3 linked regions of the Tamandua tetradactyla genome follow. The protein of the gene in region 3 purifies or fractionates together with the protein of the main gene of each other region. This does not show direct contact. Links are inferred from orthologs where the notes say so. Each region holds a gene or a part of one and is shown on either strand. Other genes may lie near its edges. The genes, in order: ZCCHC3, ZC3HAV1 and LIN28A.

Region 1 (3,820 bases), on a different chromosome or scaffold from region 3:
GTCGTGAAGTGTGAGAGGTAGTGGGATGAGCACCCGGCTTGGGGTCAGGGACCTTGACTCTAGGCTCAGCTCTGTCACCAACCAGCAATGTGATTCTGACCCAGTCACCTAACCTCTCTGGGCCTGTTTCATCTGACAGACAACCAGGGAGTCCATCTAAACTAATTCCCAGGTCCTTTCCAGCAGGAAACTTCTAGAGCCCATGAATCTATGTAAAATGGCTTCTGAGCCACTGAAAAAGATCTCACAAAGTCCATACATTTTTATGCCATAAGAAAGGCCCTTGGCCACCATTCAGAGCTTATTGACTCAGATTACATATACTTCTAACAACACTGGTTTCACAAATTCTCAGACCACATAGATTAGAAGCAGCAAATCAAAAGGGGAAGAGCTGCAAAAGTACACACCATGACAGAAGCCACAGCCAACACTGTTTTCAACTCAACAAGCCCTGTCGGAGTGCCTACGGTGCTGGGTAGGCTCCGTACTTAAGTGTTGGGGCATAAAGATGAACAAGGCAGCCCAAAAGGTGAAAATCGAAGGAGAAGACAAGGTTTGGGGTGGGGGAGTAAAAAGTAAAAATAAAAAAATCCCAAATACAAAAACGAAAACAAAGTAAAAAAGGGAGGGTGACATATCTGCACATTACAGTTCTCGGTAGTCTTTACTGATGAGAGCCACCAATTCAGAAAAGGCTGAAATGGAGTAAACTCGGTTTAAGAAGGCAAAGAGAGATGTCTTTTGTAAGTTTTAAAAAGATATCCTTCAAAAATGATAAAAAAACGGTTTAAAAAAAAGTTTTGGCACTTAGAGGGGGTAAACTAGCGGTGCGTTCACCCCAGCAGGCAGGCGGGTGTTCAGTGCCCGGCCACGCCGGTGAGCTGAGCTGCCACGGAATTATGAACCGCTTTGGGACACTGGGCAAAGGCGTGTCCTCGCTTGCCACAGAGGTTGCACACGATGCCCTTCCGGCAGTAAGGGCTCAGGTGCCCCTCCTCCCCGCACCTGAAACACCTGTCCTGCGTGCAGCTCCCGCTCATGTGGGTCCGGGAACCACATTTAAAGCATGTCTTGGGCTGCCCCTTGTACCAGCTGTAGCCCCTCTCGGCCCCCAGGAAGAAGGCCCCCGGCAGGTGTCTGACCCCGCCCTCCCCCTGGCGCAGCTCGATCTCGCACTTGTACTCCCCGGTCCAGATCCCAAACCTGTCGGTCACTTTCACGGGCACGGCGAGCACGTCGCAGTGGCGCTTGAGCCAGGTCACGATATCCTCCACGTCCACCGTCTCGTTCCGGAAGAGGATGAAGAGCGTCTTCAAGCTGGACTTGCTCCGCCCCAGCACCACAAAGTTCTCCCAGCAGTCCTCCTGCTCGCGTTTCTCCTCGTAGACGCGCAAGAACAAGGCCAGCTTCTCCGCCGAGCGGAAGCTCACGTCGAACTCGCGGCTCCCCGGAATCTGGATGACTGCGTAGATGTCGCCGGGGTCCATGCCGATGGAACGCAGAATGAGCGCGCCCACCACGAAGTCCCGGGTCGGACAAGCGCCCTCGTCACCCTGGAAGCAGATGCGCACGAGGAAGCGACCCTTGCCCGGGGCCGCCGCGGGGCTGGGGGCCGCTTCCGGCTGATCCTGGTGGGGCCGCTCGGCCGCGTCTTCGGCCACGCCGGGCCTGGTAGGGGCCGCCATGGCCGCCGTGTCGGCTTTCTTCCTCCTGCTCGCCTCAGCTGCGCCTTTCTTCTTGCGGGGGTCCGCCGCCTCGCCGGTGGGATCTCTCCGGCGGCCCTTCGGGTCCCCGCGACCCGCCGGGGGAAAGTCGCTGAGGCCCGGGGCCGCCACGCCCGCCGAGGCGCCAAGCCCGCCGCTCGCGCCGCTCGCGCCGCCGCCACTTTCCTCCTCCCGCCGCGGCGGCCGCTGCTCGCGGAACTCGCCCTTCTTCTCCGCCAGGTTCTTCACCACTTGGGCCCAGCCCATTTTCTCGCGGCCGCTCTCGGACTCCTCGCCCCGGGCCGCTGGTCGCACTGCGGGCAGGAGCTGCGGTCGCCCCCGCTTCTTCTCCTCCTCAGAGCCGCCGCCGGTGGCCATTTTACCTCCTTCCCAGCATCCTCCACTCGCTCCCGCTGCCTAAGAGTGCCCATCGCGCGCGCCCGCCGGGGCTGTGGGGGGTTTTTTGTTTTTTTTTTTCTCTTTTTGAAATCCGACGCTTCTCTCCCCCGCCCCCAACCCCAAAGGTATTTACATGAGGCGCATATTGGCCCGAGCCGGCCTTGAGCCCCTTGGTAACGGCTGAGCCACGTTTCCGCAGCTCGCGCTCCAACCCCACCTCTTCTGTGCGGAAGCGGGCTGGGGAGTTTGGAGGCTCGTCCTTTCTTCCGCGCGGGTTTGGCAGTCTCGGGCCTCGCTCTCGAGGATTTGTTATTTCGCAAGCGATCCTCGATGATTTCATTCGAGCAGCATTACTAACGGCCCACAGCCTAAAGGCGGGACAGAGTCGAGGCAGATCTCGCCCATTTTGTTTTCTTTGTACCTCTTGTGTTGAAACCTGTCTCTCTCCCCACAGAGCGTAACGTAATGCATTATTTTCTCCAGTGTTGGCTTCATGAACATTTGCAAACATATAGAAAAGTTCAAAGAATTTTGCAGCGAACATTTCACCGTTTGCTTTTTTTTAGCATTTTAACTTTTTATCAGAATTTTACTATACTTATCGCACATCTATCCATATCATTAATTATTCATCAGTTCTTATTTTTTATACATTTCCAAGTTCGTCAATAGTACATTAAAAATATATTTTTACTGATAAATCTTCATGCATAAACAGTTCGTACATGGTATACAATCAGTGGTCATATTGCATTTTTAATATTGCATTTATATTTTATAAAATGTCTATATCGTACTAATAATTATATTGAGTGCTTTTTAAGAACTTGGTAATATGCACACTGCAAGCTTTATCACTTGGAATCTTACAAAATGATGCTGTACCCATTTTACAGATAAAAAGTCAAGAGTTTGGAAATGGATTACTCCACTTGTCCAAGGCAGGTTAATAGGCAACCCCAGGGCCTCATCTGTAGGTTGCTTATCTTTCCTCAACCACTTTGCTCCTGAAATTGAGGATTAAGAACTATCAATATCAGACTTTTCAGGAAACCTTGGTAAAAAGCAGATTTCAAGGATAAAATCAGCACTGCGGAGCCTCTTTATTCCTCCCCCATTTGTTGCAATTTTTATTTGCGGATGTTGGATAGTTTTGAGATGAGTTTCTTTTTTTCTTTTTTTTTGTCAGATAAGTTCAATATCACTCCTATATGGTTTATTTTCTTTACCCTTATCTGCGTGTCTTTGGGGATCCTTCAGTCACTTTTCCATGTTCCGTGAAAAAAAAAAGGTGGGTTCCAGAAACAAGAAGACCCAAAGTTGAGTTTAGCTGCTTCAAATCGCAGCCCTGACACACTGGGTCGTAGCCTCAGCTTGCTTATCATTATCAAAGGGACATTAATACCCACTCTTAGAGGAAGATAAAGGGGTTTAAAGAGATAACTTGTGCCAAAGAGCTTGATCCAGAGTAGGTTCCTGGGAAAGTTCCTATTTTCTATGGATTCTTTCCTATTTCTCTCTCACATCTTCTAGTTCTATTTACTGAGCATTTTGGAGAAAGATGTCCTTGCGAGTTCCAGGTTCACGATCTTTTCCTTCACTTCAATTCCAGGTATCAGTCTCTGGGAAGCCAACATCCCTAACTTTTGCCGTTTAGGTCTTCCAATTCCCTCATTTCATAATCTTGTCTGCAGACACCCTTTCCTCTATCCCAT
Region 2 (3,820 bases), on a different chromosome or scaffold from region 3:
ACCCTTAAAGCATTTATGTCTCCAAACTGAGGGGAATGTTATCTCTCTATTCCCAACCACTCTAACCAAACTGGACTTATCATTTTCTAATCTCCTCAATAACCACTGCAACATTTAATCAATGCTTTTCTTATATTTTTAATGTTCTTTTCAAGCCTTCCCACACATAAGCTCCTTAAGTGAAGGGACTATTTCTTAAAGTTACACATTTTCAGAATGACTAACTAATGTAAGGGCCACATAAAAGATACTCAATAAATATGTTAAATTTAATTGATTTGGCAATGAAAGCCCAGTACCTGAGAACCTGTCAAACCACAATTATGGCCAAGTGGATGAAAGACAAGTGTGGAAGCAGTAGCCAGAAGGCACAGGAAATCAGATGGCACAGACCTGCAGTTCTGTGTGAATCCCACCATTGTTTTTTTTTTTTATCCCATTAGCGATTTCGAAGAATTTCTAATTTGGTAACCACATTCTATTTTTTTTTTTTAAAGATTTATTTCCTATCTGATAAATGCCCAATTTATTCTACCTGAAGGGGAAGGTCTTGTCGAAATATCTAAAAGGGGGACACAGATTTGAAATCTTGGGATGTGTACCTGTGATTTCTTGTGAAGAAGAAGCAATGTCTGGGGCATCTCTGTTAGTGATTATAGGCAGAAAAGAAGGGGTCTAAAAGAGTTTCTTCAAAAAGTTTGTGGGAAAACAAAAACGGAGAGTCATAATCGCTGTTCTTTAAGGGGTCATCGTGATGGAAGAAAAGTGCGCGTTGGTCCTGGATTCCGCGGACCTCGATCTGGTACACGGCGGCCAGATTTTGGGAACCTCGGGGGGCACCCGCATTCCAGCTTGGTAGTGGTGCACCTCTGCTCAAGTTACTTTCTCAATTACTGAGTGATGATGATAATATCGACTCCGTGGAGCCTTGTAAATTCCACGAAACTTAGAAAACTAAAATACACCAGGAGAGCGCCCAGCTCGGAGGAAGTACTCTAGGGTCGGTTCTTTCCAAGGATGGGTGAGGTAGGAGATTTCGAGAGGACTCCTCAAGAGGGCTCTCAAGACTCGCGTCACTTGCCACTTAGTCTGACTTATAAAAACGCTCCCAGAGCCCAGAGATAATTTTTAGTTTCTCTTCTTTCCGAAAAAGCCCCGCGGCGATTATCTGGGAAACCCCATCTTCGCCTAGTTTAGAACCAAGAGTTCTCCGCGCTTGTTCACTTTCCAGGTTTTCCCATCGGCGTTAGAGTTCAAATCTGACACAAGGACTAGAGGGTGATATCTGGCTTCTCCGTCTAAGAGCCGAGTTGGAAACCGAAACCGATGGGTTTAGCTAACGGAGGAAGAGAGCGCGCGCTCGCCCTGGGCGCGTCCAGCGGAGCACCGCCCGCTCCCGTCCCCGCCCCGCGGACACTTGTAAGTTTCGATTCTACGCAAGCTGAGTTCGTCGCACTCGGCTAGGCCAGGCAGCGCGCCATGGCGGACCCCGAGGTGTGCTGTTTCATCACCAAAATCCTGTGCGCTCATGGGGGTCGCATGGCCCTGGACAAGCTGCTTGAGGAAATCGCGCTGTCCGAGGCGCAACTCTGCGAGGTGCTGGAGGTGGCCGGGCCCGACCGCTTCGTGGTGTTGGAGACTGGCGGCAAGGCCGAGGTCAGCCGGTCGGTGGTGGCCACCACTCGAGCCCGGGTCTGCCGTCGTAAGTTCTGCAACAGACCCTGCGAAAACCTGCACCTCTGCAAGCTCAACCTGCTAGGCCGGTGCAGCTATTCTTATGTGGATCGGTGAGTGCACAGAAAAAGGGGAGGCACCCCCTCGGCTGTGGTGGGGAAAGATGGTCGGGGCTGCTGCTTCGGGAGGGGCGCCCCTCACCGGGTTCCCTCACCCGACAGCATCTTTCTCCAGCCTCTTATTTCTTTGCTCCCTTTGGAGAGCCCCTGCTTCTAACCCTGGCGGTCCCCATCCCCCTGGTGCCTCAAGATCTTTCCTCGAATATGGCTAACGCCACACTGCCCAAGCGGAGACTGCGTTTACCCATCCCCATAAGAATAAAGTGCTTTTTGGGCAAGCCGATCCTGGTGATGTTGAAGGCAGGTTTGGGAATGAAGAAAAATGCCTTTGTTCTCTGGATTCTTCAGTCCTTCTCTTTCCGCTACCTTCGATCCTAGAATTGTTGGCGGGGTTCCCGGCACCAAAGCCGCACTCGGGGTTCTCCATCGGACTCCATCGCAGCGAGCGGCTGGTCTCTGCTTGACCCTCCAATCTTGGTTGTCTCCGTACCTCCCAGTATCACTTCTCTACAGTCTGGCTCCAGTCCACACCATCTGACCCTCCTTTAGGTTACCTGTAATAAAGTCCCTGAGCACTTTCCCGCTTGTGTCTTTGCAGTGGCCCGCCCGGGACCACTGACTTAAAATGGTCGTTTAAAATGGTACAGCTTACTGCTTAGGAGCTACTTCTGTGTCTCCACTTGCTCTTTTCTGCTCTCTCAATATAGGTGCGCCCCAAGGTTTGGGTTGAGCCTTTTGATTAGATTATCTCGCAAGTTTCCCACTAAAAGAGCTCACTCGTTGGCTCAGCTACCTGAGCTACAAAGATGGCTTCCCAGCATACACCCCCTGCTCAGGCTTGCCTACTGAGTTCATATCTTCATATCTCAGTGTCTCGGGAACAGCAGTCTCCGAGTACACTTGGTTAAACTCATGGTCTTTCCCCCAGACAGGGTTTTTGACACTCCCTTCCACCTTTTCTTCATATTTTTCCCTCTTCGCAATTCATTCGCTCTTTCTGTGAAGTCTCACATACCTATCTCCTGTCCAGTTCCTCTTTTCCATCGCACTTCCCAGTGCATTCATTATTGAATTAAATTGACGGTCTCAGTAGCCACAGTGGTTTCCCCCATCTGTTCTGCCTCTGTTTACTTCTGTACATGGCATGTACCTGATATGGCATGTCTTACAGTATTGCCCTCCTTAAAGACCTTAAGTGGTGACTTGTCTAAAATGGTGGCCATCTAACTGATCCCATACTTCTTATTAGCAAAAAACTTTAGATCACTCACCTTCTGATATATGTGTAATATAAATGTAGAGAAGACACATGCTTTAAATGGATGAGACGGATAATATTTTTTAAAAAGGTATTTGTTTATAGCAAAAAACCTTTTTGCCCATTCTAAAATTTAAAAAAGGTGTTTGAATAAGAGTGCTTATTTTAAAAATATTTGTTTAGTACCTTGTGAGGTAACTATTTGAACGCCTCTTTCTGAGATCCTGAAGATACGTGTGACTTACAGAGGAAGTCATCTGAGTCGGGGGTGGAAGAAACCACTGAGGAAAGAAGGAAAGACTGGAGAATAGAAAAGGAAACACTATATATTCTAGCACTGTATTGAATAGCAGTGGGATTAGAAGATTATCTTTTTTCTGTTAAAGTGAATGATGAGAAATTCCTTACCAGCTAATGGTGGCTTTTACTTTTAAATACATATGCTTTTATCTTTTGACTATTTAGTATAGATATTTTCAATGTACACAAAAGTAGAGAAGAGAGTATGATGAACCCCCCAGCCATCCTTTGATTTCAAAAGTTTTCAAAATATGGCCGATCTTGTTTCATTTATTCTCTCTTCTCATCCCTGCTCTTCACTCCAATGAATTATTTTAAAGCAAATCCCAGGCATCATTGCATTCATAAATAATGAATACCTCTAAAAGTTACACGCTTTTATTAAAATAACTACTATCCAATTTTCATTTATAAGGTTACAATAATTCCTTAATGTCATCTAATATCCAGTTGGCATTAAAATTTCCCT
Region 3 (3,600 bases):
GATGCCATCTGAGAAGTTTCCGATTATTCTATCCTAAGGTTAAGTCTATGGAGGCAGATCCCCACCTGCCCAGGAAAACCTTCCTCGGGATTTTTATATCACTAAGGAACCCCAAAACACAAGGGCACACCTTTCCTTCAACCCCGCCCTATTTAGGAGACTAGAAAATGTTGGGTCTGACTCTTATTCCAGCCTCCCAAAATTGGGGAAGCTGTCCAGTCAGTCTCTAGACCAGGAGAGATTTTAATCTCTGTGATCAAAGGAGAGAGTGGGGGAGGCTGGACACCCCGCTGAGGAGGGCCATTCAAAGCTGGTTCCTGTAATAAAGTGATTTAATGGATCTAAAGAGGCCAATTCCCTTCTTTCTCCCACAATTACTTCCTGTGGGTTATCATTCACATATGTAAATGAGGGAGGGGGGCAAAGCCACCAGCTTCAAGCTAGATGTCTGAAGTGGGGTGGGGGGGAAGGCAAGCATCCTGCAGTAGGCCATATTGGCAGATGGCCCACAGTCCCAATGTCAACCGATGGGTCCCCAATTCCCTACATCCTCCTCCCCTGGTACCCCATTCATCCTCAACTTCCTTGCTGCGGGACAAGCTTGAGGACTTCCCTGTCTCCAACTACCAGTCCACCCTGCATCGCCCTTCCCTGCCCTTCCCCCTCCAGGATACCCTCCCTCAGGCCCCAACCCTTAATCCCCACATCCTCCTTTCCCCTCCCCCACAGCTCCTCGGGCCAGCCTCCCTGCAGTAACCCCTCTCTGCCCGGCCTGTGTCAACCTTCAGGGCCTGGGATTAGAAATCTTCCAGGTCCATTCCCACACCTCCCAGAGTGGAAGAGACTCAGGCAACCACTTCCTTTCCATGGTTATTATGGGTGGCTAGTGTCCCAGGACCACCGGAAATGCTGCGATATCCTGGAAGGGGTGAGAGGAAAGGAGTCCAGGAAGGAGGAGGGGGACCCTGAAGCCTCTGGCTCCTTGTTGGAAGCCAGGAATTTTAGGACAGCAATCAGCGGCTGTCTAGGGCCATAAACACCAAGCAGAGACTAGGTCCCGAGGCCAGCCTCCCTCCAACCTCTGCCCTGAGACACTGAATTCCACCCCGACCGCGTCCCATTCTACTGCGTTAACTGAGCACTTGGGGTTGCAACCCAGCTCTCAGCCTGGGCCAAGAATCCAGGTCTTCTTAGGTTTTCCTTCCTGGTAGGAACTCTACAGGAAAGCTGCCAGTCCCTGAAGAGTGTGAGTGAAACCCGCCTTATGACCTTGCAAGCTCCTAAGTGGATCCTTCAGTGATCTGCCAAGCCCACCCTGACCCAGGGCTTGAGTTCTGAGTGAACACCTATGGATGGGGTGCATCAAACAGGGACCTGCCTTCTCAACCCCAGCCAGCTGGGTATGGGAATAGGTTTCCTCCTCTCCCTCTGGCCCTCCCAGTTCCATTCAGTCGTTACTGAAAGGCTCTGGGCGCCGAGTTCCTGGTTTCCGCCCAGCATGTGCTTGCTTCCCTGGCGAGTCCCCTCGCCCTCCCCCCGCCAGCAAGCACAATACAACCTTACTTTCTGCCACATGGGGTCACTTCCCTGCCCCCTTCCCAGGGGAAAGAGGTAACAGACACGTGGTGAGCTGGAGGGGTTCCCGGAAGGACGCGAGGGGAGCTCATACTTGCCGCTGCTCCCCACCCGGCCCCGGTGGCGTTATCAGGGACTCAGAAGTGGGGTGCCACGGCAAAGATGAGGGTCCGCAACGAAGAAACTTGGGTCTCCCTCAATCCAAGTGCGGAGTTCGCCCATCCACCCAGAAATATAGGACCCCCACTTCAGCGCCCCCGGCGAAGTTACCAGACTGAGTCTCACCTGATGCACAAAGACGTCCACTGGGGGGTCGAGCGCGACCCCGGCGCGGGCGGTCATCGACAGGAAACCGAACCCCATGCGCACGTTGAACCACTTACAGATGCCGGCCCCCTGCAGCAGCTGCGGCTCCTCCGCCTCCCCGGCCGCGTTCTCCGGGGCCTCCTCGGCCGCCTTGGTGCAGCCACCTGGAGATGGGGAAGGAGACCGGCCCTCAGTTGGGGAGCTCGGAATCGGAGGGCGCCCACAGAGACCCGGCAGGGAGACCCAAATGCCCAACCTACGGGTGGACATCAGGAGCCTGCAGCTACCAAGCTACCAAGACCTGTCCCGGCCGCCTCCAAGCGCTCCCCAAACCTATACCGAGACCCGTGGTGCCCCGAAAGTTTTGCTCCTCTTCTCACAACACGTTGCCCTTGGACAGACGGCTGGACAGTCCCCTCCTCTCTTCCTCCCACGCCCGCACAGCACTGGCGAGCAAGCCGCTGGGACACCAGGGTCCTAGCTCTATTCATGGCCCTTGAAGCAGAAGGCCGCGCGGACTTGGGAGTCCTTCGGGCAGCCTGGAGGGACACTTCCCCATCTTCCTTCTAGGTGGCTCCTGGGCACCCCCGCAGCCTAAGCTGTTCCCGCTAAGTCCCAAGCTCGAACCTGCAAACTGCTGGTTGGACACGGAGCCCATGGTCGTCGCCTGAGCCCGCGGCCCCGGGCCCCTGGTCGGGCGGCTGCTGGCCCCAGAGAAGTCCGGAGGCAAAGGGGTGGTTCGGAGAAGAGGCAGCTACATCTTCCCCGGCACAATAGCGGTGGGAGGGCCCACGGCTTTTCAAAGGCTCCCAAATTCTAAAAGACAATGACCCAACCCCCCGCGGGCAACCCCTTCCCCTCCCCTCCTCTTCTTTCCCCTCCCTTTCCCTCTGGCTCCGAGCAGCTCCGTCCCTCCCCCCACCGCTCTGGTCTCTGACATCTCTGGGGTGTCCCTGTTCAGAACCTAGAGGTTTGACACCCCCCTTCCCATACACATATCTGGAAATGGGGGCCGTCTTGCCCAAGAAGTCTTGGGTACCCCTCAATTTGTAGTTGTGCACTTTAAAGCCTCATTGGGGGTCCCCAAAGCAGCATACAGGTGGGGGATCTGGGGGGGGTACTTTTAAAACCACGTGACTGCTCCCACACACACTCACATACCACCCCCACCCCCTACGCAGATAATTATACATTCCAGAGAGTTGGGGGAGGGAGGTGTGAGCCTGGCAGCACTGGCCAATCAGAAACACAAACCACCTGTCAAGGGAGAAATGGATGAGCCCTCCCCCTCCCCCAGCCACTGAATGCCCCTCCCCCTCTCTTCTCCCCTCAGGCCTCTGAGCTGACCCGGCTGCTTGGCGATGACCCGCTCTCATCCCCCACCCCCGTGTGCTTAGATAGACCTGGAGTTTGGGACACTGGGAAGCCTGGGGAGGAGGAGCAGGGGGAGATTGGAGACTGGGCAGAGTTGATCTTCAGTCCTTACTCTCAAAATCTCTCTGTCTCTGACAGAAATTGAATGTGTCTCTCTCCCTGAGTTTTCCACTCAAGACTTTTTCTCAATCTCTCCCTAATAGAAGGGAGAAGGTGCTCCTAATTGATTCAACATAAAGAATCATCCCTTTTTCCCTTCCTTCCAAAATGTCTAAAGTTGGCCCCAAATAGCACTCTATGCAAGAGCAGGAGGACCCCAAAGAGGCTTGAAGTGTGCTTCTCTCT

The links.
Region 1: the proteins of LIN28A (region 3) and ZCCHC3 purify together in Homo sapiens (co-immunoprecipitation; 3 studies listed by BioGRID and IntAct, with this or other methods). This does not show direct contact. The link is inferred for Tamandua tetradactyla from reciprocal best matches to the Homo sapiens genes LIN28A and ZCCHC3.
Region 2: the proteins of LIN28A (region 3) and ZC3HAV1 purify together in Homo sapiens (affinity purification with mass spectrometry; 3 studies listed by BioGRID and IntAct, with this or other methods). This does not show direct contact. The link is inferred for Tamandua tetradactyla from reciprocal best matches to the Homo sapiens genes LIN28A and ZC3HAV1.

The regions. Positions count from the first base shown.
Region 1 is NC_135327.1:22,186,744-22,190,563, reverse strand, and holds the start of ZCCHC3 (zinc finger CCHC domain-containing protein 3), read right to left. Parts: upstream 2,367-3,820; 5' UTR 2,085-2,366; coding exon 861-2,084; 3' UTR 1-860.
Region 2 is NC_135327.1:182,163,534-182,167,353, reverse strand, and holds the start of ZC3HAV1 (zinc finger CCCH-type antiviral protein 1), read left to right. Parts: upstream 1-1,149; 5' UTR 1,150-1,479; coding exon 1,480-1,787; intron 1,788-3,820.
Region 3 is NC_135328.1:199,797,130-199,800,729, forward strand, and holds the start of LIN28A (protein lin-28 homolog A), read right to left. Parts: upstream 2,672-3,600; 5' UTR 2,540-2,671; coding exon 2,509-2,539; intron 2,046-2,508; coding exon 1,861-2,045; intron 1-1,860. UniProt on the Homo sapiens protein: RNA-binding protein that inhibits processing of pre-let-7 miRNAs and regulates translation of mRNAs that control developmental timing, pluripotency and metabolism.